Linked DNA regions of Mus musculus. The protein of the gene in region 2 purifies or fractionates together with the protein of the main gene of each other region. This does not show direct contact. Links are inferred from orthologs where the notes say so. Each region holds a gene or a part of one and is shown on either strand. Other genes may lie near its edges.

Region 1 (3,500 bases), on a different chromosome or scaffold from region 2:
TCTTGTGGCAAGAGGCTGATGGCTGTGGGCCTCTGCAACCCTGGTGAATGTCCAGTGAGGGACTCCAGGAAGGCTGCCCCAGCCCAATCTGCTCCCTGCCTAGCAGCCACAGCTAAGAGAACACAGAGGCACCCACAAGATGGAACTGAAAGCAAATTAATTTATAAAAAAAAAAGGAAAAAGAAAAGAACAAAGAAGGAAAGAAAATTTTACAGAAGACTTTGAACAGAAGAAAGGTGTGGAGATGCAGAGGAAGGAGACGCTGGGACAGAAGGAGCAAAGCGCCTGGTGGGAGGGGCCAGGCTCTGGTGCGGCCTGGAATTGTGTCTGCCTCCAAGTAGGGGGTGAAGAGGAAGACCTGGAGTGCAGAGGCACGCTGCACTGCTCCCAAATCTTTGTCCTCATTTGGGGAACTCCTAGCTATCACTGGGTTCTGTCAGGCTTGGTTGGTGGGGGCAGAAGTTAGCAGACTGTCCCACTGTCAAAAGTAGGTGCTTAAGTGCTTTTCAAACTTGAGGGTCTGCAGGCCCCCCATCCTCTTAGAGCTCCCCCTCTGATGCCTGTTGGGCACTCACAGATACAACTAGGAAAGCAGGAAGAAGAGCCCAACTGAGGCCCCTTCTTCCTCTATTTCCTACCACAGAATCCCCGAAAACTACATTTCCCACAAGTACACAGACGCTGACGAGTAAGCAGGTGACTTAAACACAAACACAAAGCTGACTGGAGGAAAAGGTCATTGGCTGAACTGGGCCTAAAACAGCAACCATGACGAGCAGCAGGAGGGATTTGTATGAATAAACTGGAATGGGTGAGGGGAGCTGACTCAGCACTGCCAAGGGCTCAGGGAGACAGGCTCGGTGCCCTATTCCACCTCACACCTTGCCCCAGAAATTTAATTCCTCTTAAAACCTGCCCTTTCCCCTCAAAATAATAATAATAATAATTAAAAAAGTTCTTTTTTTGTGGGCTCCGAAGTGTCTTTTTTTAAAACCTCCCTTTTAAAGGGTTTCATTTTCATGTTATCACTTCAAAAATGCAGTAATTCTGAAGGGGTAGACCCTCAGAACCAGTTAGTAGAACCTCGTATAAACATCTTTCCCTCCTATTCTCTCTCCCAGGCATTAGAAACATCTTTTAGTCAGAAGTCCGTGGATAATAATTGGATATAAAACTGCACACCTCTGCTGGGCATGGTGGGGGTGGTGAGGGGGCAGGAGGAGCTTTCCTTACGTAGTGATGAACTCTTCAGGCTGAGGGAGGGTCCCAGTAGTGGGGGAGGGCTGTTCCTGGAACTGTGATCTCCATGGGGAGTGAGGGGGAGAGATGGCTGGCTGGTTCCTCACTGTGGAGGTGGCACAGGGGTGACTGTGCCTGGGCTTGGAGCTGTGGGGTCTGGAGGCAGCGGGGTGCCTGGGTCTGTGGAGAAAAGGAAGATGAATAAGCTGAAGCACGCAGAGGGATTGATCCAGTCCCAGGCTCCACACACAAACAGAACTGGGCATGGCATGCAGTGGGTGGGTAGATGAATGAGGTACCCACTATGTGTAATTTCTTTTTCTCAACACTCTTTTCCGCCTGACACTGGAAAAACCTTATATCCCAAACCTTCTTCCTCTCCCCAAGGTCTAAATAGGGTATCTGAATGTGGTGGGAACACTCAAGGAAAGCCATCGCCATGCAGACGGTAGCTAGGCTCCAGGTTTACAGCTGAGGTCCTCTGAACCACTGGATTCCTCCATGACCCACCAGTGAAAGCCCTGTCACCCCAGCGGTGGCAGCTGCCCAGTTGGGAAATGGAGGACAGCCAAAGAGGCCTTCCTCCTGTGCTCTAGTTTTATCACAGCATTGAACAGGGCTGTGGAAATTCTAGGATCTAGCCCTTTCCCTACTTGACTCCCTCCCATAATGTAGAGCCCTCTCCCTCACCCTTTCCCCTCCTGGCCCCTTCTCACCTGGCAGTGGGCTGGCACTGGGCAGGAGGTTGCCCTGAACAGCTGCCACAATGGCAGGGCTCTGGGCTGCGGCGGATCCGAGCCCCGGCCCGAGAGGCAAGGAAGATGGCATGGTGGTGGTCGCCGGCAGGTTAGGATGTAGAGGGTTCGCCATGGACACAGGCAGGTTAGGTGGGGGGATAGTGCCCGGGGCAAACGGGAGATGGTGGTGATGCCCATGCAGGTTAGGAGGAGGGGGAAGGTTAATACTAATGGAGTCAGCTAGACTACCGAATGGGATGACGGATGGAGCAGCAGGAGGAGGAGGCGGCATGCCAAAAGGCAAACCCAAAGGAGCATTACCCGCCACGCCTGGGTGCCCGCTGCCTGGCACTGCCCCTGGCATCATTGAGGGAGGAGTTGGTTGGTTGGGGAACGGTGAGGGGCCTAGAAATAAAGAGAACACGAGGGTGAGGGGGTGGAATCTTACCCACCGCACAAGCTGCACAGCTACCTGCTGGTGCTATCCCCTTTCTCCTGGCACTAGAATAAGCTGTAGATTCGTGGAATAAAGTTCCATGTATCTGTGTTTGGGAACACATCCCTGCTAGTTTGGGGACAGAATACAATGGAGTTCACCTGTAGGAACTGCAACAAACATTTATACCCAAGGTATTCCCTTCAAAGGAACCAGAACATCTGCCTGTAGCTCTATAGCAAACATATCCTGGAACCCACACTCACCATGGGGTCCAGGGGGGGGTACCCCTGGTGGGACTGCCCCAGGCTGAGGGGCTCCAGCTTGTTGTGGCTGCTGTGGCCCTGCAGTTGTCCCTGCCTGCCCAATCTGTTCAGAAGGGCCCAAGCTTCCAGGAGGGGCCCCACTGCCAGGAGGGGCAGAGGCCACAGCGGCTGGAGGCACAGCTAGACCATGGACTGTAGGTGGTCCAGCAGCCCCGGTGGGAGGTATGGGCTGGGAGCCTGGGGGCAAGGTTGGTGGCTGCTGCTGCTGCTGCTGGTGCATCTGCTGGAAGTGCTGCTGCCGGGCCCTCATCTCTGCATACTTCAGCTGCTCCATGTGGAAGGCTTGCCGGTCGGCCAGGAGCTGCTGCCTCTGGTATTCCAGCTGCCGGTACCAATGGAAAACTGTTACTGGGTACCAGAAGACCTTTGGCAATTGCCTTGCCTCCCACTTCCTCTTTTGGAAGACCCCATCTCTCATGCTGGTGTCTCACCATGGCTGAAGACTCAGCCATGTCTTCCTCTGTCCTTGCAGACCTGAGGCCACCTGCACTGCCCTCACTGCACCAGAGTTCGGGCTGGATTTGTTAGTACTCTGATTTGAAAATGCCTCCAGCTTCTGTCAACTCAAGTTATTTCCTTCCTTCAAAATCAGCTACAAGCCAGGCGTGGTGGCGCACGCCTTTAATCCCAGCACTCGGGAGGCAGAGGCAGGCAGATTTCTGAGTTCGAGGCCAGCCTGGTCTACAAAGTGAGCTCCAGGACAGCCAGGGCTATACAGAGAAACCCAGTCTCAAAAAACCAAAAAAAAAAAAAAAAAAAAAA
Region 2 (4,003 bases):
CTTCTATAGTCCAGGTACAGAAGGATGAACAAAGGACTGCCCTCATAATCCTTAAACTGAGGAAACAAGAAGAAACTGTTCCCAGAACCTAGAAGGTTTCTGCTGAGAGCTGTGGTAACAGCTGAATGATGCAGAGCTAAGCTGCCTATTCAGGGAGGGAGGGCCAAGCTCAGATTGCAATCCCAGGAAGACTCTATAATGCAGCATCCAAATTGGGGCATTTTAACTTGGGTGGGGAACACCAGCTTTTAACGATTATACTAAAACAAAAAGCACAGGCAAAAAGTATAGTTACCCTACCATCACCAAATCAAAGTTCAAAGCTGAAACCAGAGGCTGAGAAAGCCCAGAGGCCATCTCTACAGGCACAAGATGTGTATAAATGACAGCAAGGGAATCTGGTGGCACAAAACAAATCAAACAAACAAACAAAGGAAAGAAAAATAAAAACCACCGAATACATCCTAGTACAATTTCATCAATTATGGGGAATTATGTTTTGTTTCATGAAATGAAGAAACACAGCAAAATATGAAAACTGCACAGCATGGAAATTAGAGTGTAATTTATACAGGCCAAGTAAAAAGCATTTAATGAACGTATCATTTAAGTTACACATTCCAGACTTTAGGAGACAGTTTAGTGGTAAGAAAAAAGCTGGCAATCTTTTTCAGTCTAATTTAGAGAAAAGCCTCCATGTATATTTTCCAAATACTTCACCCCAAACAGCAGGCCTCCTAGGATAATGCACTTGGGTTTCTCAGTACTGGTTTTTCAATGGGGTCCCCCTCAAAATTTAAAACACTAATCCTACTTACCTACATTACTCAAATGCTAAGGCCTTAAAAGTTCTTCTGTTTCTCTAGTTAAAGCCAATCTATGCCCAATCTACCCAGTTTGGTGCTAGTTACAAAGAGGCACCCAAAGAGAATCACAGAGCTATTTAGTTTAGACATACCCAGTTTGGAGAAATTCCTAGTTTAAAAGGAGATGCATATGCAACTGTTTGAATGAAAATGTCTCCTATAGACGCTGATATTTAAACATCTGGGCCCCAGTTGGTGGTGCTGTTTATGGAGGTTTAGAAGATGTGGGCCTTGATGTAGGAAGCTGTCACTGGGGGACAGGCTTTGAGTTTAAAGCCCCCACTATTTCCAGCTGCTTCATGCTTGAGGTTGGACACGTGAGCCCAGATTCCTGCCCCACCATCATGCCTGCTGTTAGCTGCCATACCTCTCTCAAACTGGACTCTTACCTCTCTGGAATCATAAGCTAAAGTAAACTCTTTCTTCTAGAAGCTGATTTTGTTTTTTTGTTTCTTGGTTTTTTTTTTTTTTTTAATCACAGCAACTGAAAAATGACTAATACACTATGTGAGATGGGTAATTTACTAACTTCTCTGCTACAGTTTAATCCGAAAAATGTATTTAATACTTACCTCATAGGATAGGATGACTAAATGCCTTGAATGTTTTAATGTATAAAGCACTTACAGTGCTGACAAACAATAAGCCGATAAATATTAGCTAACGGTAATTATTACTGTCACACTTCTTGCCAGGGAAAAGACTACCGTTCCTAGAGAAACTACTATAGTTTATTCTCAGAAAACCCTACACAGCAGTTAAAATGAGTGGGCACAGATCTACTGACTCAATGCAGATATAGATTTGTTAGTGTGAGGATACTATTTAACTCTTGATGGGTGCGTGTTACCTGTACACGGCAGAGAAAGGAATACCCCTGCCTCATCCCAGAAGCAATTTGCTCCCAATTTACAACGAGTCTTTAAACTTTGAGCTGGTTGTTTAACTCTTGCCAATATTTTTTTCTTCGTTAACGTGAGGGATGGCAGCACCATCTCCTGTCAACATCCCCCCTAGAGGAGAGTCTCTAACTAGGTAACTACTCTTAAACAAAACAGTACTTAGAAGCCTTGTTTTCGTTATCGCCGATCTAGAAAAGGCTCCCGCCCAGCCGGACAGGAGAACTGCAGCCTGTACCTCAGGGATCCGCTCATCTGGGGACCGAGCACGCCTGGAACGATGTCCAGGCTGTAGTGGCTGCTGAAGGACCCAGAGCAGCAGCCGCAACACCGGGCGCCACTCGCACCCAGTGCCAACCCCGGGGGCCCGGAACCTCCGCGAGCTGCCCGGGACCAACGCGCGGCGGAACCGGTACAGTGAGGGACCCGGCGTGCCAGGGACTGCCATCAGAGCCCAGCCGGTAAGACGCGCCAAGGCCCTTCCTTGAGGCCATCTCGGAGCAGCGACGGGACAAGCCGGAAACCTATTGCGCGCCGGCCCGGGTCCGAAGAGAAGGAGAGGCCGTGGCCCATACGGGGACCGGAAGCACCGTCCAAAGACCGGAAGGGCCCGCCGAGGACCGGAGGGAAACGGAAGCGACTAGGGACCAGGCCGGTCGTTCCGGTCCGCACGCCCCGAGGCGCCGCTGCGCTCACTCACCTCCGCCGTACACGCCGCCGCTCATGGCTACTGTCTGGCGGGGACTGGCCGAAGACTACCGGACGAAAGATAACAGCGGCGTGACTCCTCTCCCTGAGAACGCCGGCCCCGCAAGCCTGCAACTTCCAACGCCGCCCCCTCCGGCAACAAAGCAGCGGCCGCACGCCCGCTGCACAGCCACTCTTGCTGGTTTCTCGTATCAACCAATGACAAAGGGTCCGGCTTAGTCATTAGCCAATCAGAGTGTGGCGCTGCTGCATCCCCGCGCGGTTTAGCCGTCTTAGCCAATGGAAGGCATCCGTAGGGGCAGGGAGAGGGAGAAGCGACAGAAGAAGGGAAGGTGTTGGGGTACGGGCAGGAGGGGGCGGAGCTTCGCGGGCGGGTGAGGTGGGTGGAGCTTCGCGAGCGGCCGGTAGGGTGGACCGAGCTTCCAGGAGCAAGGCGGGGGGAGTGGGTGGAGCTGTGCTTCGCGCGCGAATAGAGTAGGAGGAGTCTTAGGTGGGCGGGCGAGTGGGAGGGGCTTGGTGCAGGAGTGGGCCGGGTTTCGAGAGTGAGTTAATTAGGTACTGGGAATTAAGAGGCTTGCCTCAGGCCATCAACCGCTCTGGTTCTAAAGGATGGCTGCTCCCCAGGAGCCAAAGGAACTTGAGTGCAAGGAATCTGGAACTTGAGTTAGTTACCTGGGAGAGATCCCTGGCCTTTGATTGTGATGAATTCGGAATTTTTTTTTTTTTAAGCAGAAATACTTCAACTAACATTTATACTTGAAAAAGAAATGTGCACTTCACTTTGAATTAATCAGCAAATCAGATATAATAATAGGATCCATCATTTTAAACAATGGCTATTTATATTAAAAGACAGTACATTTTTCCAGCTAGATTTAGATAGCATTTAAAAATCATGACTTCAGTTTCTTTCATTTCTGTGAAAATCATTCACCAAGCAAGTGGAGCACTATTCAAGGAAGCACCCATTTGTAAATACCTCCCCAATCCGTGTCTACTGTTCTTAGTCTACATCTCTATCAGTGTCGCCCAGAACACTGTCTTTTCTTACCCCAAATTACTGCAACAATTTGTCCCTCTGCTTCTCTAGGCCTTAGATAGCCTGATCTATATAACCAAAGGCCCAAACCAGTCCTGCCATTCCAAAGCTCAAGTGTAATGTAGCTCTGTACCTGGTAGCAGTGCTTAAATTGAAGTGTCTAGGGTCTAGCTACATAGTGGCTACTTGTAACCTTAGGTGGGTTGAATAAACTCTCATCCATTTCCCTGCCATTAAGGTGGCAGGAATTGACCTGTCTGTCATAGGTTCAGGAATAACGCTAGTAAGAAAATGCTCTCCCGTTCACTTGACACTGTGTGCTGTGAGCTGACAGTGATGGTTTGGATTTGGGTTTTTTGAGAGAAAGTCTCACTGTGTAGGCCAGGCTAGTCTCCAAGTTGTAATCCTCCTGCCTCTGCCTCCTTGTACTGGAATTATAGGCACATGCCACCGTGTGTGTATTACTACATTTTAAATGATTCAAAAACAGT
Region 3 (4,289 bases), on a different chromosome or scaffold from region 2:
ACAGTCAGCTCATTGAAACTGCCTTAGGGAGGCTTCAAAAATCACTGGATTTAGGGACTGAAGAGAAGCAATCAGATCTTATCAGTTTGACTGTCACAGCCCAGAAGATGGCACAGGGCTAGGTCCCTACCACCAGTCACACACATCCATCCTCCCAGACTCACGTGTGCATGCACAGACAAGGACACACATACACACAGGCAATCTGGCACACACACTTGTGCCTCTCTGTGGCTCCAGCAGTATTGTTCATCATTGTGCTTCTCCACAAGGTAGACGGGGAGACCAAGGACAAACACTAAGGTTTGCTCTTCCTCTCAGTGTGCAAAAAAGGACAGACTCACGTGTATTCACATCCGTGAGAGCTGCCACAAACTGAAGGTATTTCTTCATCAGAGTGGTTTGGTCGACCACCGTGGCCCCCTGGGTTGCAACGAACGCCATCTTTCTTCTGAGTTTGTGTTTTTCTCAAGCCTGAGCTGCCAAGTCCATGAGTTTATCCAGCCTGTGAAGAGAGACATCCCGTCAGCAGCTGGCAGGGACATGGGGAGCTTGTAACCTGTGAAATATTTTACCTCAGTACTTTCTAAAATTACATTCATATTTTCATTGTGTTTGGGGGGGGGGGGAGGTTCCTGTGCCTTAATAGATGTATTGAGGTCAGAGGAATCACACAGAGGTCCAGGGACTCGAACTCAGGTCATCAGGGCTGGTGATTGGAACCGAAACCTGCTGAGCTGTTCCACTGCCCAAGCTCTAAAGGATTTGCGGAAATCACTGTTTTCTGTGGGTTGTTTTTGTTGTGGACAGTGTGTCCAAATGCACTGTTTCAACATCATTCTCTTCAACATGGAAGCTTTTCTTTCCCGTTACATAGCCTTCTTTCAACAAACCAGGAGATCGCAAACGTTTTGTACAACGAGCTGTGCAGAATGGAGGGAGAGCTGGGGCTATAGCTCAGTGGAGAGAGGGTTTGCCTAGCATGTTTATGAAGCCTTGACCTTGATTCCCAGCCCTGCATAAAGCGGAGTAATCCCACAACCTCTCCAGCACGGGAGAAGTACAGATGGGGGCCTGGGACACATAAGACACTATCTCCAAAGTGTCATGGAGGAGGTGGGGGGAGCCACACAGGAAATGTTTGAATCTTTGTAGTTGTGCAATGTCTACCCAGTTCCCCAGCACTCAGGAAGGAGTCACTAACACATAAATGAATGACAACAGCGGTGTTCAAAAAACAAAAAAACAAAACAAAAAGGAGGGCTTAAGGACACCTTTTGCATAATCTGAATTCATCATGAAATACTACTCTTCTTCAATACTCCCCCCATCCCACCCCAACCAGTTTAAGAAAATATAAAACCAGCTAAGCATGGGGGCAAATGGTTTTAATCCCAGCACGCAGGGGACAAGAGGCCAGCCTGTTGTACATAGTGAATTTTAGGCTAGTCAGGGTTACCTGAGACCTTGGGAAAATATACACACTACATCATGGTAGAGCCTTGTCCTGGGTTTTATCCCCCAGTATTGTATAAATAATAAACTATTCTCCTAAGCATTACCTCAAAGACTGTGGATCTTATCTACAGTCGAGGCACAAAACACAAAGCATGCTTTTTATCATTACATTTTCTTAACTGGGGTGGAAGAAGGTGTGTGCCACACAGCACATGAGGAAGTCAGGGGACCACTTGTGGGACGTCTGTTCCTTCCATCCACCGTGTGGGTCTCAGGGATTGAACTCGGGTCATCGGGCTTGGCAGCAAGCAACCTTTACCCACTGAACCAACTCACCGGCCCCAAAGCATACTTTAAAAGCACCACAGTGACTTGGAAAACAGGAACGTTGACTCCTGGCTCATAAGGTAAAGCGCTTGGAGCCAAACCTGGAGACCTATCTTGATATGTGACCACAGGGTGGAGGGGGAGAACTGAGTCCCACAGGCTGACCTCTTAGCTCCACATGCATGCCGAACACACATACACAAACAAGCAAATGCTTAAAAAATAAAAAGCTGAGTGTGCCAGTGCACGCCTTTAACCCCAGGACTCTGTGGATCTCTGTGAGTTCTAGACCAGCCAGGCCTACATAATACCAGAGACCCTGTTCCTAGGGAGAGAAGAGAAAAGCTAAGGATACTATCAGCCTTGCTACCGTGACTTGGCAAACTCTTGCTTTTCCTATCAGAGTTCCTCCTTCAAACACTGGAGGTCCCTCATACTCACCGACTATTAACTAGACTCAGGGTCAAGGCATTCTTAAGAACAAAACAGAAGCCCTAATCCTGGCCAAACTTTTTATCTAGCTTTTCTGCTGTGGAGGCGGTGTTGTGTAGCTCGGGTAGGAGGAGCAGGCTGATGTAGATGTACGGTTGGCCTTGATTGTTGAGCTTCCAGCCCCGACCCCTGACAGGCCTGTGTACCATCACCCCAGGGCTAGGAGGTTCTGGGGAATCGAACCCAGGGTTTGGTGTGCTAGGGGGACACTCTACCCTCTGAGCTATAGCCCAATCATCTGCGCAAACTTTTGCGACACTTAATCTCCTTTTTATAAGCCACTCAGTAAAAGTGCCACTTCCGAGCTCCCACCCGATCCTCCCAGGGACCAGGCCTAGCTTCTCCCTGGGCCAAGAACCTGAAAGCAGGGGGCTACCCTATCCGCCTGTGGATTCTGGAAGGAGGTTCTGAGCTTTTCGAGAGGATATGGATTCAGGCCTGGATGCCCTCGAGCCCACGGAGTCCCCACCCAGGTAAGGAAAAGGCAAACGGCCCCACAGCCCGCCGTCCTCCATCGGGTCCGCCCCGCCCACGACGCCCGGCTGGCTGGACAACGCGCCTCCGGGCCGCCAGGGGGCGCCGTAGCCGCCGCTACCTTCACTCTCAGCGTCTGGCCCAGAGAGCCAGGAGCCTGCGTGGAGGCCCGCAGATGCCAGGATGGCTTTGGTGGGGTGCCGCAGCCCCCTCGACTCCTCACTCAATCCCTTCGCGTCGCAAACGGCCTTCGGGTTCCCTCCTTTTGTCGCCGATCCTTCCCGGGACTCTCAGCGACTGCCCCCCAGCAGGCCGCTGAGCTACGGCAAGCGCCGAGGGCCAACCTCCGCGGCCGCTAGCGCTGCGCGTCCCTCCATCCGCTCCAGCGCAGCCCGGCGCCGCGGAGGACTAAATGCTGCAGTGTGGCTGATCTAGTTTAGGAGGGCTCCTGGGGGGCCGGAAGGACCTCGGTCAAGCAGGGACAGCCTTCTCCACTTCTCCGTGGAGCCGTCGTGCTGCACCGACTCTCTCCCACGCCTGAGACACGCACGCGCGTGCATCTCCCGGGACCGTTCACCCGCCCTCCCTTGCGCTTACCGGGACCTGCCGACTAGCCCCCAGCATCCGGGCCCGAGTCCCCAAGAACTCTCGCCGCCGACGCCGCTGCTGCTCCTCGCTCAGTCCCGCCCCGGCTTAAAGCCGCGGCGTCCGCCCACCAGAACTAAGCTCGGGCGCACCGCCCCCAAGTGGGTGCGGCCTGGGCGGGCAGCGGGGCAGGGAGGGGCGGTCTGCCGCCTTGGGTGGGCGTGCTGTCCTTTTAAATCATCGCCTGGGTGACCTATCTGCTGAGCACCTAGGCCGGTGGGGCTCTGGGCTGCTGCAGCTTCAAGATTCGTCATCGCCTCCACACCCAACCCCGTGTCCCTTTTCCTCGCAGGAACCAGACTGAAGGGTGATTGACACCCGAAATACCTCTCCAGTTGGTTCACTGTGTGTGTGTGTGTGTGTGTGTGTGTGTGTGTGTGTGTGTGTGTGTGTGTGTATGTGTGGCCTTCAGGGCTGGACTTCCTTCCCTGAGATTTTATTTTTCCTCTTCCAGCAATGCTGGGTGTTGAACTTAGGGCTTCACATCCACTAGGCCAGCTGTGTGTGTGTGTGTGTGTGTGTGTGTGTGTGTGTGTATGTGTGGCCTTCAGGGCTGGACTTCCTTCCCTGAGATTTTATTTTTCCTCTTCCAGCAATGCTGGGTGTTGAACTTAGGGCTTCACATCCACTAGGCCAGCGCTCTATTGCTGATCAGCCGCCTGAGAGTGAAGTAGTTCCTGCAAGACTTTAATCACAGCACTGGGGGGGGGGGGGGGGGGGGGGGCCGGGGGGGGGGAGGCAGGCGGATTTCTGAGTTCGAGACCAGCCTGGGATAGGGGCAGATAGACTGACATCCAGTTGGCTTAAAGGCAAACTCGGGTGTTATGCTGCTAGGTCACCCTGAGACAACTACATTTGTCCCGCTTGTAGCTGATGCCCTCCCTTCAAGACAA
Region 4 (4,180 bases), on a different chromosome or scaffold from region 2:
TTTATCTGGACAGAACACATGACCAGCAAACAGCCCGGACTACCCACAGGAGGCTCTGGTTCTCCAGCAAAAGTGCACTCGAACGAGCTCACTTGCACAGCTAAATATAGTGCCAGAGCGCAGCACTGGGTGAGCATGAGCTGCTGGGTGGAGAGTTTGGGGGTGCTCATTAGTCTGATGATCCCCTTGGAGCAACAGAGAGCCAAGCCTTTGGGGGACTCTCACACTTAAACTGTGGTACCTCCAAGGAAAGTTGGGAACACAGAAATAACCTCAAGGATTCAAGGGAGGAAACATGGCCTCAAAGGCTCAGCACAGATGGGTGGCGGGCAGGGATGGGGACCACTGAGATCATCCACTGATACTGCTAAATCCAAAGGGCAGCATCACCAGGGCCAAGTCAACAGCAACCCAGACCCCAGGACAAAACCGTGCAGCTGAGGAAGCAGACACAAAGGACCATTGTCTTTGTATGCAGGGAACACAGCCCCCCAGCCCCCTCCCGGAAGCTCCCAGCAGGAGTGGTGAACTGCAGTCAGGTTTCCTGCTGAGCACACCGCACCAAGCACCCGGCACAGTGCCACCCCTGCAGCTCCCTCCCTGAGCACCAACCACAGTGGACCTTGAACTCACGTCCTCCAGGAGCCGGCCTTCTACCCGGAGCTCCCAGGAAGCCACCGTCCCTTCCCCATCCTCCGCGTCCGACTTAGCCGGATTGAACGTGTTAGAAATGAAAATTCGCAGCTTCCGTTTTTGCTGAGGAAGGCAGAAACAGGATCGACAGTGGAGCTTCGGTAGTAAAGGTCCCCTAAAACTCCCAAGTGACTCCTCACTGGCTGGCTCACTACAGGGGACAGAGACTCCACTCGGAAGTGTACAGTCCCGACCTGAGCCTGGGTGCAAGTGAATGCACCAGGGGACTAGGGAGACAAAATTGTGCAAAGTGGCATGTTCCCAAGGTAGCAAGTGGTTACAGCAAAAAGCGCGCACGGGTCTATTTCTGTCTAGAGCCCTGGATAGCTCCCCCCCAACCCCCCACCCCCGCCCCTTTCCCTGCCAGCTGTTAGACTCCTATGCTCCTAATGTAATTCCTGGTTTGTAGGCGGAAGGGAAAGATGCAATTTAAATGCCACAGAGAGCTGTGCTGTGCCTTTGATTTTTCCATCCTGAGCTGGAGAGAGACCTGGGCCCCTCCCTTGACCCTCAGCCTGGTACTGTCCTGTTACCTTGATGGGACGTTTCAAGGCCTCCTGGATATCTAGCCGCTTCCTCATAATAGTCTGGTCCAGTTTCCTTTCAAAAGCCAGGAGATCCATGTAGGCCTGTGATTCTGGGACCAGTTCCCGAATCTTAGGAACAGAAAGACAGAGATGGGATGGGGCAGCCCTCGTTCTGACCACTTCTATTCTCAAAGCCACTACCCCTTCAAGGAGACCTCTGCAGCTGCACTCACCCTTTGAGGTAGGATTTTGTCAGCCATCTTCTTTTTCTTTGCACTGTTCAGAATAAATACTGTGATCAGGTTGGGATAGGAACTAGTCAGAACGTGAGCAGTGTTGTGAGCACCTTTGTTTATGGTTACAGCCAAGGCCTACGAAATGACTCTCCATTTAAAGACGCTACCTCTCCCATGACCACCAAAACTCCACTGCATCATGAGGCCCTGTTAGTCCCTGCAGCACCGTTTGGTGCCACAGCGCTGACTTCCTGGTTCTGCATGCCCACCACCAGCATCCTCACAGGCCTCCTCTCCCCCATACCCTTCTTTCCTTCACCCCCAGGGGTCATCTTACTTGTGATTTCGATTTTGGACCGCCTGCTGCTGGACCTGCTGGATCTGTTGAGGTGCAGGTCTCTTGCGGGACTGGTCCATCCCTGACTGGGCCAGACCAGGTCGGACTGAAGGGTTCCCCCCATAGCCAGGAGGTCCCATGGAAGGTCCCTGAGGTGTCATTCGGCTACCTGGCAGCATACCTGGTCTCTACAGAAGGGAGAGGACCCAGAAATGTCATACTTTTCCTTGCTAGCCCCACCAAGAAAGGAAAAATGGTGGCAGCCTGGATTTCAGGAGTGGGTTAGGGCTGGGGGTGGGGTGGGGGGACAACAAGACAGTCCTTTGCTTCTTTGAAATACAGTCACTGGACCTTCAGTGATTTCATTGCATATAGTCTAAAAACTAGATTATACTCAATTTTTCTGGTCTATGCTGGATCTGACTCACCAGACATGTCTAGTCAGCCCTACATTTCTTTTTTTACTAGCTACTGTCTCCTCTAAAGCTGACCTCCATTTGCAGCTATAACAGCCTGGGTATTCCTGGGGACACGGGGGCTGCCCACTCCCCTCTGCATTCCATGACCATCCCAGGGCCCACTTCGCCCACCCTGGTTCCACACTCACTCCTCACATGGAAACAATGCCGCCAGGAGCAGGTAAGGATGCTAACCTCCTCCCCCCCCACACACCTCCACTCCCGGCCCGAGCCCCTCCCCAGGGAGTCCCTCCCACTTCTCCCTCACCCCTGTCAGTCCTCCGCCCTCGCTCGGCCCCGCCCCCGGCCCGCGCGCCCCTCCTCCTGTCCCACTCACCGGATAGGCCGCCCCGGGCATCGGAGAGCGGTACAGCCCTTGACCCGGCGCCGGGCCCATTCGCACGGGAGGCCCGGGAGTTCCGCCCGGGCCCAGAGCAGCCGCCACGCCCGCTCCTCCTGAGGCTCCCGCGCCGCCGCTCGGAGCCACAGACTGGAAACCCGCCCGGGCCGCCATCTTCCCGGAGCCGCCGCTGCAGCTGCACAAAGAACCGGAACCGGAACTCCCCCCGCCCCCCGCGCGCCCCCCGAGCGCCTGGGCTGTTTGTGGGCCCGGCCCGCCGGCGGGCACAGGCGGCTCGGAGCAGCGAGACTACGGGCTAGAGGGGGCGACTAGCGGGAAAGGCGTGCTGACCACTCCCTCCCGCCTTCACGGGCCAGGAGGGAGCACCATAGAGAAGCGGTGTGCGGATAAAGAGGTGCCGGGAGCGAGCGCCTCCACGCGGTTGGAGGACGGTAAAAAGCCTTGCAGAGAGCCCAGCCCATCCGGCTGGCGGCTGGAGTGATGCTTCACCTTGGCCCAGTGCATTTACCTCTCCAAAGCATTCTGGTTGCCTTGCTTTTCGTTCTCCTACTGCTCAGACTCCGGGTACTAAAGAGGAAAACGTGCTGTTTGTTCGTTCGGGAAAAGTAGAACTCGAAGGAGATCAATGTCGTGGCAAAGACAAATCAGCAAGAGAAAACCCATGCCGGGCCGTGGTGGCGCACGCCTTTAATCCCAGCACTTGGGAGGCAGAGGCAGGCGGATTTCTGAGTTCGAGGCCAGCCTGGTCTACAGAGTGAGTTCCAGGACAGCCAGGGATACACAGAGAAGGCTCGGGACCCTTCACCTCAGACGTTTAACTTAAGATTTTGATGCGTTTTTTCCCGTGACTTTTCTCCAAAGAGTCCTGGATATTTGTTGCCATAGATAACTGCTGGTCCCCTGCCCAGTGATCAGACGAATCCTGAGCCTGTCTTTTCCCAGCAGGATCAGTGTTTACCTGATCAAGTATGTAGGGTCTGGTGTAGCCCAATCTAGCGTTAAACTCACTGTGTAATGGAAGATAGCTGCTCCATCTCCTACCTGCTGGAATTACAGGTATAACCACCACACCGGGCTACCACTCAAATTCCCTTACTCTAGTTGTGTGGCTCTCAAGGCAAGCTCCATTCTAAAGGTAACACCCACAGTTTGCAACTAAAAACAGCACTGGGCAGGATAATGGCAGCTCAGGCTTTTAATCCCAGCATTTTGGGAGGCAGGAGGATCTCTGTGAGAGTTCGAGGCCAGCCTGGACTACAGAGCCGTTCCAGGACAGCCAGGGCTACACAGAGAAACCCTGTCTCAAAACAAACCAAACAACAAACAGAAAACCAACACTGAAGAGATGGTTGAAACCCAGTTTATTAGACCAGAGGCATGCGTCACCCAGAGCCCCTCCTGCTGCCCCCCCAGCCAGTGTACATTTCTCAGCTTTGCCCTGTTTCTTTCTGGGGAGTTCTGATCTCTAAACAACTCTTGAGAACCAAGAGGTCTCAAAGATGCCAAAGCCTTGCTCTCTGGCTCCAGGCCAACGTACACAGGTGATCTGCCCATAAGTCCTGTTTTGG
Region 5 (3,500 bases), on a different chromosome or scaffold from region 2:
TTGCATGACTTAGGGGGTGCATTGTGAGGAGCAGGAGCAAGGCTTTTATAGACTCTTGCACCCAAAGTGAATCTATTTGCTCCTCTACTGTTTATGTGGGAGTCGCCTGCTGGGCTTTTTATGGTTATTATTCTTAGGGTTTATGGTTATTCTTGTCTCAGGTGCCATAGGTGCCCTGATTTATGCTCTCTCTCTCTCTTTTGAAAGAGATAATCTCAGTAACGTAGCAGCTTCATAAAGAATGAAAATTATAAACAAATCAATTTAGTCCCTGATAAATGAAGGAGACTGCTTTATAAAATGCAATTTTACATTTCAGTTATTCACAATGCTAAATGAAAGACAAGAGCCACTGGCAGAGTCGGTCTGTGGGAAGCCGAGCTCTCCTGCCTGCCTTACTCGGGCTGTAAGGACGTGCAATGAGGGCTCTGTGTGACTGATGCTGTGGAAACCAACCACGGTGTCACATCTCCTCTCTGTTCTCAGGGCTTGGCACACCTGTCTCAGGCGAGGGGACATAAGCTGTAGCAAGCAGTCGCTTTTGTGATTCTGAAGGTATCCTCCCTAGGGGAAGTCTGGGTGGTTCTCCCTCCCTGTCACAAGTCTCCCTGGGTTAATCGAGGACTTCTGGGCATAAAACCGTACAAGCAGGCAGAGTTCATCCACCGTGAGGGTGGAGGTTCTAGAGGAGAACACATGATTTTAAGGACACATCTTAAACACAAAACACCACCATCAGGGCATGTGATGTTTGTGACACATTAGTACACTCCACCAGCTGAGAATTGCTGCTGGCCTACACCGAAGACAAAGTAGAAAGAAAGGGGGTGGTGGAAAGCTCTGGTCTTATTTCAACAGCAGGGCAGAGAACTAGAGAGCCAGCCCGGAGTCTTCAGGTGGTGAGCGGTTTACAGCCCACAGGGAGAACAAGCCTCTCATTTTTATCCTAAACACCAGTTTAAAGCCCATAGCCTCACTGACTCAGGCGATTTTCTCAGGCTTCCTGCTGTTAGTCAAACTGCTACAAGCTACTTTAAGGCCAGCTCCGAACTGGGGGGCTGGGTGAGGGTGTTGTGGGATGTTTCCCGGAAGAAGCAGGGTTTCAAGTGAGGACTTCAAGACAACCCAGAGGAGAAAGGCAGATGTGGGGAGGTGACCTGGAGGCAGGCACGGCTGCTGGTGGGGACCTAGGGCCCATTGAGATCTGTTCTCTTAAATGTGTTCTTTTCCATTGGAGGAAAAAGACACAGCATGGGATGTGGCAGTACCCATCTACAACCTCAGCACACGGGAGCAGGTCTACATCACATAGTTGGTTGAAGGCTGCACTACATGAGACTCTGCCTCAAACAAATAATTACAAATCAGTAACGTAAAAAGAAAGATATTAAGTTGTACTGAGAAGTACTTTCTGTAACTCATATCAGTTCCAACTTCATGTTGGTGTTTAATTATTCCTACTGAAACAATTTCTTTGTTCCTATCTCTCTCTTTGACACACACACACACACACACACACACACACACACACACACGCACGCACCCTGAAGATGGAAATGAATTATTATCCCAGACTGAGTACATAGGCGGCTACATATTAACTAATGCTGCTTTATATTAGCTACAAAGATTCCAAGTCTTGGATGGTCACTGCACCAGCACAGCATTATGCATTACTTCATTTTATAACGTGCCAACTTGTTGCCAGCTGTGTGCAGCTGCCTCACCTGGGAAAGATTGAAGGTGGCGACGGTGCTGTCATCATAGAGGAGAATATTGATGGTGTCCAGAGCCCACGTGCTCTCAGCCAACAGACCCGATTTAAGGGACATCATCACACGCCACGCCTCGGGAGTAACTGAAAAGGAGAACGGGTATTATGAACCTCGGCTCTGGAGGAGAAAGCAGAGTGCTGACGGCAGCAGTCAGCTGTGCAGCTTCATCTGACGTTAGCAGGAGATGGTAACTCAACACACTACTTTGTTCTTTAAGATCCTTCCTGCTTGGTGGTAGGACAGGAGCCCCAAGTACCCAGGCAGCACGCATGGCCTTTGTCGTCTTAGGTGTTTCTTTTACCACTTGGTAAGGGTGCACCAGGCTTGCATAACTGGGCCAACCCCAGCAGAGCTGGCTTGAAAAAAACTGTAGCCCCCCAAACAGTGTAAGGTCAGAGGAAGGTCTCTCTTCTCTCACCTCTACCCGGCTGTGGCTGTGCCTAGGAGTAGGAGACTGAAAGTCTGCGCTCTCTGTCACTCTTCCTACTCCTGCCCTTAGAAAAGTATGACTAAATGACATCAGCTTTGCTGAGGATGGGGGTACACTGGGGACTCCTCATATCCTGAGTCTGTACTGGGAGATTTTCAGAATTGCAGGGGCTTGCGATGTGACCTGTGGCAGAGAGGGTCCTGATCTACCCACTTACCACAGCCACTTATGGTGCAGTGAGGAGGGCTGTGTGTCCAAGGGCATCTTTACTGTGATTTTTGTTTTACACGGTTTTTAAGAGGAAAACATGACTTTTGTCATACAAGGAATCAGACTTTTGAAAAGAAAAATTCCCTAGGTTGAAGGCAAGCACTGATAGAAACTGGACTAAACAAAAGAAGATTCAAAACCAGATATAGGCTGGAGAGATGGCTCAGTGGTTAAGCACACTGGTTCTTGGCCAGGACCAGGGTTAGGGTCCCAGCACCCAAATGGTAGCTAACAATCATCTGCAACCCAGTTCCTGAGGCTTTAGCACCCACTTCTGGCTTCCTCGGGCACTGCATGCATATAATGCAGATATACGTGCAGGCAAAATACCACATAAATATATGCTTTCAAAAAGTAGATATGTGTATCTATTTAAACACACAAACATAAATAGCTATTTCATTTTCATTGTTTATAAAATAGGGCTCAGTATCTATACGCCATCATCTCTACAGCTCCCATATATAAAAGATACCATATTTTTCTTATTATGTATCATCTTAATGTCTAACAACTATAAACATCTTTAATATCATTAATTAAATAGTTTTCATTTTCTAATCACAGCAAATGGTTTTACGCCAACTGATTCCGAAATCTTTGAAAAAATTTTTCTTACACAACGAAGAGCTATTATTTCCTCTGCTGTGTTAAAAGAACTTCAAAATGAATGCAGAAAAAGCTGTGTTAACTACCGGGCATTCCAGACCATTAATTAGTATTCCCATCGCCTCGCAGAGGGTAAGCGAGCAATATTAGCATTCAGCTGAGGTTAACTCCTTGGCCTGTATCTGCCAGTGTGGTGTAGATTACATCAGTTGAATATATCATAGCAGAGACCATCCATATATCATATCTACCTCCCTATATAGCATAGCCAGGTTTCTATTTTCCCCATGGGAATTCATCTTATATTGTCACTCCAGTCGCTGGCCTTCAGTTTCCTTGGCCTCCAGTGGATCTCTTAAGCATCCACTGTAGCAGTCAAGCAGCTTGGTTATGCCTGAAGCTCAAGCCAGCACATA
Region 6 (3,500 bases), on a different chromosome or scaffold from region 2:
ACGGTGGCTCACAACCACCTATAATAAGATCTGACACCCTCTTCTGGTACATCTGAAGTCAGCTACAGTATACTTATGTATAATAACAAATAAATCTTTAAAATTAAATCAATAGGGGTCTGGAGAGATGGCTCAGTGGTTAAGAGCACTGACTGCTCTTCTGAAGGTCCTGAGTTCAAATCCCAGCAACCACATGGTGGCTCACAACCATCTGTAACGAAATCTTACACCCTCTTCTGGAGTGTCTGAAGACGGCTACAGTGTACTTATAATAAATAAATAAATGTTAAAAAAAAAAAAGTAAATAAATAGTTGGCAGGAAGGACCTAGCAGTGATGCAGACTTTTAAACCCAGCACTCAAGGCAGAGGCAAGGATAGCTGTGGCCAGCCTGATTTAGAGTGAGCTCTACAACAGCCAGGCTACAAAACAGAAACTGTGTCTCAAAAAAATAAAAACAAAAAATAAAGTACCGACACTGTTAACTGTCTTTCTCATGCAATTTCCTTTTACAGAATCACAAACCAGAAAACTCATTTGAGAAAACGCTGATTTTGAGAGGAAAAAAACACATCTGATTTTTGTTTTGTTTCTCACTGTGCAGCTCTGGCTGTCCTGGAACTCACTATATAGACCAAGCTGGCCCTGAATGCAGAGATCCAACTGCCTCAGCCTCCCAAGTGCTGGGATAAAAGGTGTGTATATTTATACTAGACATTATACCAGACAAAATCAAAACCAAATAAAAAGCTTTATTCTATAACAGCCATAGCTAGAGACTGTCTCTGAAACAAAAAGTACTTTACATATGCACAGATTTTACTCTAAATCATGTGACATTTGATAGACTACACTGAATATTATGTTGCTATATATATCTTAGATTTATTTTGTGTATGGCATTTTGCCTGCATATATGCACATACGCTATGTGCATACCACACAAAGAAACACACACAGGTACATAAAAGTTAAAAGTATAGTCATTTAAGAATTTTTATTAGTTGGGCATGGTGACATATAATTTTTTTATATAGATTTATTTATTTCATGTTTGAGTATAATGCCACTGTCTCCAAACACCAGGAGAGGGCACTGGATCCCATTACAGATAGCTGTGAGCCACCATGTGGTTGCTGGGAATTGAACCCAAGACCACTAGAAGACCAGCCAGTGCTCTTAATCACCAAACCATCTCTCCAGTCATGGTGACATACAATTTTAATTTCAATACTTAAGACATAGAGAGACAGAGGCAGAATCTTTGAGCTCATGGCTAGCCTGGTTGACAGATTACATTAAAGGACAACCAAGGCTACATAGAGAAACTCAAAAAAAAGTCAAACCAAACAAGCAAACAAACAATCAAACAAACAAAAAAAGCCAGGGCTACACAGAGAAACCCTGTCTCGAAAAACCAAAAAAGAAAAAGAAAGAAAGAAAAAGGATTTTTAATTGACAAAATTTGTATTTATTAGCTGGAAACAGTGGTGTATGACTTTAATTCCAGCACTTGGGAGTCAGAGGCAAGCGGAACTCTGTGAGTTGGAGGTCTACAAAGTGAGTCCAGAATAGCTAGGGCTAGTAACATTGAGAAACCCTGTGTGAAAAACAAAACAAAACAAAACACAACACTGTATTTACTTATTTTGTGGGAGGGCACACAAGCGCTATAGCACTAGTGCTAACATAAAGGGTGATTTAAGAGACTGTGTTCTTTCCTTCCCCTGTGCAGGTTCCAAAGATGGAACTCTGGGCTATCAGAGCAGGGTAGCAAGTGCTTTCATCTGCTCGGCCACCTCACTGTCCCTTTATATAATTTTACAAGTATAGAAATTATCACAGACCTTTAATGTGAACCAGTCAAATCAGACTGTTACAGAACTTGCCTAGTATGCACAAGGCCCGAGGCTTAAAAACCAGAAAGAACAAAAGGTCTCCAATTCTGTGTAAGCATTCTTTGCTGTGGCTCTGCAATAGAGTATTCCAGTTATCTGACTGCCGAGGACACTCATCCTGGTCAATGCTTTCCTCTGTGTAAATTAATAAACATACTTCATGTGGTAGAGAAGGAAGCTAGCAAGTCAAGGCGCTTATTACCAAGCCTGACAACTTGAGTTTGCTCCCTGTGACCCACATGGGGGGAAAATCGACTCCTGGGAGCTGGCCTGACCTTTACAAGCCTGCTGTGTCAGGCATGTGTCCATACACATACAAGCACACATAAGTAAATAAATTTAAAATTTTTAATTCACACACACACACACACACACACACACACAGAGTACTCTAACAGACAAGTATCAGTATAGACAACACAGCAGAGAGCAACCATAGCAGAATATTACTTCTCCATGATTGTTGCAGAATATACAAGAGATTAAATGGCACAGCCCAAAAGAATTCCACCACTAAGCTGAAGATGACAGCACACTCCAGTAATCCCAGCTCAGGAAGTAAAGGTTCAAGGAACAGTTCACGGCTAGCCTCTAATACAGATAGCTCCAGGCCAGCCCTGGGCTCTGTGAGACGATGTCTCAAAAACAAGGCGGATGTCTCAAAAACAAGGCGGCGTGGTGGTGCATGCCTTTAATCCCAGCACTCGGGAGGCAGAGGCAGGTGGATTTCTGAGTTCCAGGCCAGCTTGGTCTACAGAGAGTTCCAGGACAGTCAGGGCTATACAGAGAAACCCTGTCTCAAACAAACAAACACCTCCTCTGTACAAGTTGTTCCCCCTTCTCCCTATATTGCCTGGCAATAGTAAGGGAAATCAACTAAAAGCAACACCTAAAAGTACAGAAACTGGAGATGCCTACTAACAAGTTCATGCACTTACAGGTAGTTTGGTGAAAGCTGGGTTGGTGACATGCTTCCCAAAGGCATCTTCTTGGAACTGTAGAAGCTGCACCACCAGTCCAGCTAGTGTTTTATTGGTAGGAGCATCTGCATGAACATACTGCAAGATAAAGAAAGACATGGATTTAAAACCTGGTACAGCTAATGCTGGAGAGAAAGCTATGTTATGTTAGTTCCTAGTACTTACTAAGTAACAGTACCATAGCACCACATTTTAGGTGTACAAAGTTCATTCTCCACTATAAAGAATCATAAAAACCCATCATGTACATACTTAGAGGCAGAGCATAAATGCTAATGAGATGGCTCAGCAATCAAGACTATATGCTCTTACCAGCACCCAAATGACAGTTCAGAAATGTCTGTTAACTCCAGTTGGAGATCCCACGACCTCTTCAGGCCTGAGGATACCAGTCATGTATGGAGTACACAGACATACTCGCAGGAAAAGCACCCATAAACACACACCCACACACAAAGAAAACCAGGCTGGAGAGATGGCTCAGTGGTTAAGATGCTCTGCCAAAGGACCAGCACCAACATGGCGGCTCACATCTATATCCACAGTGCAAGAAGATTCAACACCCTCACAGAGACATACATGCAAATTAAAAACAATACACATAAAGTAAAAATAAACAAATC
Region 7 (4,280 bases), on a different chromosome or scaffold from region 2:
AAGTCTGCTCACCCCAAGAACTCTAACCAGGAGCCCCTCTGGCCTCAGATCCCAAGACTTGCTGGAAGTTGGACATGGGAAGAAGCAAGCGGGATCTCCTTCAAACTCAACCAATGCTAACTGGGTTCTCCTTCCCTCCTTTCCCCTGCCTTTCCCTGGAGGAGGAAGAGGAAGAAGAAGAGGAGGAGGAGGAGGAGGAAGAGGAGGAGGAGGAGGAGGGGGAGAGGAAACATAGTTGGTATGGGATGCCCAGATTCAAGGCTATCTCCTTTCTCACAACTAGCAGCCGCAGCCATTTGGCTGGCCAGCCTGGCCTCAGCATAGACCCAAGGCTACTCTACAAAATATGCAGGAATCCATCTTCCAGTCTTCAACAGGGGCTTTCCCAATGGCATGTTCTCTATCAGCTGCTTTCCAAGGAAATGGGTCTACATAGTGAGTTACAGGACAGCCAGGACTATATAGAGAGACTTGGAAAACCAACCAACCAAACAGACATCCCCAGTGCCTGTAGGAAGCTTCCAGACCAGCTCTAAACAAGCAGAGCCAAGGGCTGACGCAGAGACTCATCAGTGATATACTAGGCCCATGAATCTCCAAAGAAAGCCACATGGGAAAGATAAACCCCGCTAGTATCCTTGGAACCACGTCTATCTCTGTTTATACCCAAACTCGTCATTTTCTTTTTAGATAGGAGTTGAAATGAAGGGGGTCACTTATCCCCACTCCGACCCCCAGTTAGGTATCTCCTGGGTATCTGATTCCTGGGCTGGAGAGATGGCTCAGTGATTAAGAGCGCCGACTGCTCTTCCAAAGGTCCCGAGTTCAAATCCCAGCAACCACATGGTGGCTCACAACCATCTGTAACGAAATCCGATGCCCTCTTCTGGTGTGTCTGAAGACAGCCACAGTGTGCTTACATATAATAAATAAATGAATCTTTAAAAAAAAAAAAAGAAATCTGATTCCTGGGTGGAATATGCATACATCATGAAGATCTATTTCTGAGACTTCTACCTAGAGACACCAGCAGGGGACAGAGCAAGCTACAGTGCACACCTCTCACCTCTCTGGCACATAGGTTGAGAGACATATGGCCTTGTCAGGAACCTGAGGGATAAGGAAAGAGAGGTTGGGCGTGATAGTGTGTGACTGTAATGCCAGACACTTGAGAGAAAAGAGTTCAAGGTGGGCTTTGGCTACACAGCCAGCCTGGACTATATGAGACCCTGTATCAAAAAGCAAGTAACAAAAGTGACAAGGATGTGGGAGAAGGATGGGCACAATCCCCAGGAAAGGAGGTGCAGCTCCCTGATACAGCAATCGTCTGCCACGTGCAAAGCCCTGCCTGGATTCCATGCTCAGCACCAAAATGCAAAAGCAAAACAAAATTCCCAAACATTCTGGAGCCACTTGAACCAGAGCTCTGGGGAATGAGGAGCGCCACATGCAGAATCAGGCTGAGTTCCCAATGCACTGACCACGGGTCCTGTCTCTGCTTGTCAATGGCCTTTGATGCTGCAACCTGAGACAGCTCTCTGCCAAGACAGAAGGGTCAGGGCAGTACCCTGTGCAGCCCAAGACCAGCAGGACTCCACAAAGCCTCCCTGCTCCTCCAAACTTTACTGGACACTGGCATCAAGAAGGAAAGCCCCGTACAGAGGATATCTTGAATGGTCTGTTAATGGGATCGGGCCTTCTTCAGACCTGGACACAGCTATTTCTAATCTATCCTGGAGTTATCTGGGCCCAATCTCTTTAGTCTCCCATTTCGTAGGAAGCCTGGCTTCCTTCCTCCTCAACTTGAGCAGCTGGGAGCCATCTCAGACATACTAACGCTCTGCCAGTTCCCAACTAGGAAGAAAAAAAAAAAAAAAAAGAAAGAAAGAAAGCCAAGGCAGAGATGCAGTGGGACCGAGGCCAAAGAAAGAGTAACCCTGTTTTCTCACTAACGACCCTCTTCCAAATTTTCCTCACCACATCCCGGGTCACTCCCTCACCTCCACTCCGGGACCTGTCTTACACTTTCAACCTGATTGCCCACAATTCTCTAGATCTCACGAAGCCTCCATCTCTAAGTTACTCGGAGCCAAGAAGCCCCGGGACTCCTCTAACTGCTCAAGCCCTCCACCGCAGAGGGCTTTCACCCTTTCCCCAACACTGCCTCCAACCCCGAGCCACTAACCAAGGGACTCTGGCCTGCCCGCCACCAGCCCTCGACAGTTCCTCCTGCAGTGTCCCCTGGGCCGCCTGTCCTCACCTGAGGCCCCAGGGAGACCGACACAGCGCCCTCGCGGCGCCGCTCGCCTGCCCTCCTCACCTGGTACTGCGCCGCGGGGCCAGCGGGGCCCATGGGGCGGAAGGCGGCGGCCCCCGGTACCCCCATGCCTCCAGAAGGCCCCGGGCCCCTGAGCGCCGGGCTGGGCAGCATTCCGGGTCCCGCAGGCGGAGGCGGCGCACCAAGGGCCGCGGCAACGGCGCCGCCGCCGGGGCTCAGCGGAGGCAGCGGGAACCCGCCCGCGCCACGGCCGGACATCACTCTGTCCCGTCCCGCGGTGCAGCGATCCGGCCTCCGGTCTCCGTGTTGAGTCCGCTCCGCGAGCTACGTTCCGCGATCCGGGACTTCCCGATTTTACTACCGGGTTCCGGGATCTTCTACTCCAAGTTCGCAAGTTCTTTGCAGCCCGGCTTTAGGATCCCGCGGCCCCTCTGACTCCGCTCCTGCCAGGGATACTCCAGATCCGGGATGTGCCGCGAGCCCGCAGGCCTCTCCCGGCCTCCGGAGGTTTGATCGCCGGAGTCCAGTTACCCAGAGGCGGTTACGAACTCCCAGCCCCGCCCAACCTAGACCCTGCAGGCCCCGCCCCTGCCCGGCAACCCAATCGAGAATGCCTCTTTAAATCCCGCCCTCGCGAGACCCGCCTCAAACCAGCACCTCCCATAACTGACGGCCTTAGAGCCCCGCCCTTGGGGGAGGCGGCCTTTTCCCGGAGGAGCGGGAGCGGAAGCTGCACGCGGAAGCGCGGAGGAGAAAGGCGTGGGGTCAGAGTTCGAAGGTCGCGTAGGGCCGTCCGAACTGTTAGGTGTTTGCTGTTTGCTCCGTAGTGCTGCTGCCTCGGCGAGATCCCCGATATGGCCCATCCAAAACAGTTCCGTCAATTCTGCGTCTTCAAGCCTTAAAAATAAGCGATCCGCGGCGGGAAAGCCGCCAACCACTTTTTAAGAGCCCATCTCGGGGCCGGTGGCATAAGGCACCCCACACCCACCCACCCATCTACCCCCAGAAGCCTGTATTGGTTGCTCCGCGCTTCCAAGGACATGGGCGGCCCCAGACGTGACCCAGCTGAGTGAAAGCTTGGCTTGGCCCAACTCCGAGTACTTAACTGCACTAACTTGCCCGTGCCTTTCTTTAAGGAAGCCTGGTAATTCGCAGAAAATGTTTTTAGGTGAAGGGATTTTGCATGCTGAGAGAACTCCAGGTACTGAAATAAGTTTTATCCAGTTTGTATAGGACTTAGTTTTGAAAAGTTGAGAATCAGCCGGGCGTGGTGGCAAACGCCTTTAATCCCAGCACTTGGGAGGCGGAGGCAGGTGGATTTCTGAGTTCAAGGCCAGCCTGGTCTACAAAGTGAGTTTTAGGACAGTCAGGACTACACAGAGAAACCCCGTCTCGAAAAACCAAAAAAGAAAAGAAAAGTTGAGAACCTTTTCAGAAACCACTGGCTTCGGCTATGTTATAGACCTACCCTCTGTCAATGTGGTATCTCCTACCCACGGTATAGAATAGTGCTACTTAACTAGGCACTGAAAATCCTCAGAATCAGGTTGGGGGTGTAACTCAGGTTATAGCGTGCACAAAGCCCTGGGCTTGAACCCCAGACTGCATCAACTACATGGTGGTGCATCCTCAAAATCCCAGCACACAGGAGGAGGCAGGTGGGCCAGAAGTTCAGGATGGTTCTCAGCTGCATCACCAGTTGATTCTACAGGAGACCCTATATCAGAAGAAAGCCGAGCTTTTTGTTAAAATGTGGTTTATGGTTCAATGAAATGGGGGCAGGGTACAAGATTCTGTATTTCTTTTTTGGTTTTTCAAGATAGGATTTCTTTGTGCAGCCCTGGATGTCCTGGAACTAGGTCTGTAGACCAGGCTGGCCAAAGATGACATAGGCTTTGGTCTTTTGACTAAACTGCTTTTGTTAACTTGTCCAATAAAGAGTTGTCCTGTAGGTGGGTTGATCTCACTTGTGTGCCACAAAGCTTTTGAGCTTTCAGAGATG

Evidence for each region.
Region 1: the proteins of Actl6a (region 2) and Smarcc2 purify together in Homo sapiens (affinity purification with mass spectrometry; 8 studies listed by BioGRID and IntAct, counting the BioPlex papers as one, with this or other methods). This does not show direct contact. The link is inferred for Mus musculus from reciprocal best matches to the Homo sapiens genes ACTL6A and SMARCC2.
Region 3: the proteins of Actl6a (region 2) and Trrap purify together in Homo sapiens (affinity purification with mass spectrometry; 7 studies listed by BioGRID and IntAct, with this or other methods). This does not show direct contact. The link is inferred for Mus musculus from reciprocal best matches to the Homo sapiens genes ACTL6A and TRRAP.
Region 4: the proteins of Actl6a (region 2) and Smarcd1 purify together in Homo sapiens (affinity purification with mass spectrometry; 8 studies listed by BioGRID and IntAct, with this or other methods). This does not show direct contact. The link is inferred for Mus musculus from reciprocal best matches to the Homo sapiens genes ACTL6A and SMARCD1.
Region 5: the proteins of Actl6a (region 2) and Arid1b purify together in Homo sapiens (affinity purification with mass spectrometry; 5 studies listed by BioGRID and IntAct, with this or other methods). This does not show direct contact. The link is inferred for Mus musculus from reciprocal best matches to the Homo sapiens genes ACTL6A and ARID1B.
Region 6: the proteins of Actl6a (region 2) and Smarcc1 fractionate together in Homo sapiens (co-fractionation; 8 studies listed by BioGRID and IntAct, with this or other methods). This does not show direct contact. The link is inferred for Mus musculus from reciprocal best matches to the Homo sapiens genes ACTL6A and SMARCC1.
Region 7: the proteins of Actl6a (region 2) and Smarcd2 fractionate together in Homo sapiens (co-fractionation; 5 studies listed by BioGRID and IntAct, with this or other methods). This does not show direct contact. The link is inferred for Mus musculus from reciprocal best matches to the Homo sapiens genes ACTL6A and SMARCD2.

Annotation. Positions count from the first base shown.
Region 1 is NC_000076.6:128,486,815-128,490,314, reverse strand, and holds part of Smarcc2 (SWI/SNF complex subunit SMARCC2), read right to left. Parts: intron 3,061-3,500; coding exon 2,679-3,060; intron 2,382-2,678; coding exon 1,956-2,381; intron 1,420-1,955; coding exon 1,343-1,419; 3' UTR 1-1,342. UniProt on the Homo sapiens protein: Involved in transcriptional activation and repression of select genes by chromatin remodeling (alteration of DNA-nucleosome topology).
Region 2 is NC_000069.6:32,707,343-32,711,345, reverse strand, and holds the start of Actl6a (actin-like protein 6A), read right to left. Parts: upstream 2,801-4,003; 5' UTR 2,491-2,800; coding exon 2,466-2,490; intron 2,411-2,465; exon of another isoform or gene 2,004-2,410; intron 1-2,003.
Region 3 is NC_000071.6:144,767,305-144,771,593, reverse strand, and holds the start of Trrap (transformation/transcription domain-associated protein), read right to left. Parts: upstream 2,801-4,289; 5' UTR 2,747-2,800; exon of another isoform or gene 2,227-2,746; intron 506-2,226; 5' UTR 445-505; coding exon 345-444; intron 1-344. UniProt on the Homo sapiens protein: Adapter protein, which is found in various multiprotein chromatin complexes with histone acetyltransferase activity (HAT), which gives a specific tag for epigenetic transcription activation.
Region 4 is NC_000081.6:99,700,907-99,705,086, reverse strand, and holds the start of Smarcd1 (SWI/SNF-related matrix-associated actin-dependent regulator of chromatin subfamily D member 1), read right to left. Parts: upstream 2,801-4,180; 5' UTR 2,766-2,800; coding exon 2,589-2,765; exon of another isoform or gene 2,297-2,588; intron 1,982-2,296; coding exon 1,794-1,981; exon of another isoform or gene 1,585-1,793; intron 1,497-1,584; coding exon 1,454-1,496; exon of another isoform or gene 1,350-1,453; coding exon 1,227-1,349; intron 757-1,226; coding exon 634-756; intron 1-633. UniProt on the Homo sapiens protein: Involved in transcriptional activation and repression of select genes by chromatin remodeling (alteration of DNA-nucleosome topology).
Region 5 is NC_000083.6:5,337,574-5,341,073, reverse strand, and holds part of Arid1b (AT-rich interactive domain-containing protein 1B), read right to left. Parts: intron 1,859-3,500; coding exon 1,728-1,858; intron 1-1,727. UniProt on the Homo sapiens protein: Involved in transcriptional activation and repression of select genes by chromatin remodeling (alteration of DNA-nucleosome topology).
Region 6 is NC_000075.6:110,135,024-110,138,523, reverse strand, and holds part of Smarcc1 (SWI/SNF complex subunit SMARCC1), read right to left. Parts: intron 2,956-3,500; coding exon 2,836-2,955; intron 1-2,835. UniProt on the Homo sapiens protein: Involved in transcriptional activation and repression of select genes by chromatin remodeling (alteration of DNA-nucleosome topology).
Region 7 is NC_000077.6:106,270,173-106,274,452, forward strand, and holds the start of Smarcd2 (SWI/SNF-related matrix-associated actin-dependent regulator of chromatin subfamily D member 2), read right to left. Parts: upstream 2,801-4,280; 5' UTR 2,537-2,800; coding exon 2,321-2,536; coding exon of another isoform or gene 2,261-2,320; intron 1-2,260. Other genes in the region: Tcam1 (testicular cell adhesion molecule 1), read left to right, coding at 3,462-3,479. UniProt on the Homo sapiens protein: Involved in transcriptional activation and repression of select genes by chromatin remodeling (alteration of DNA-nucleosome topology).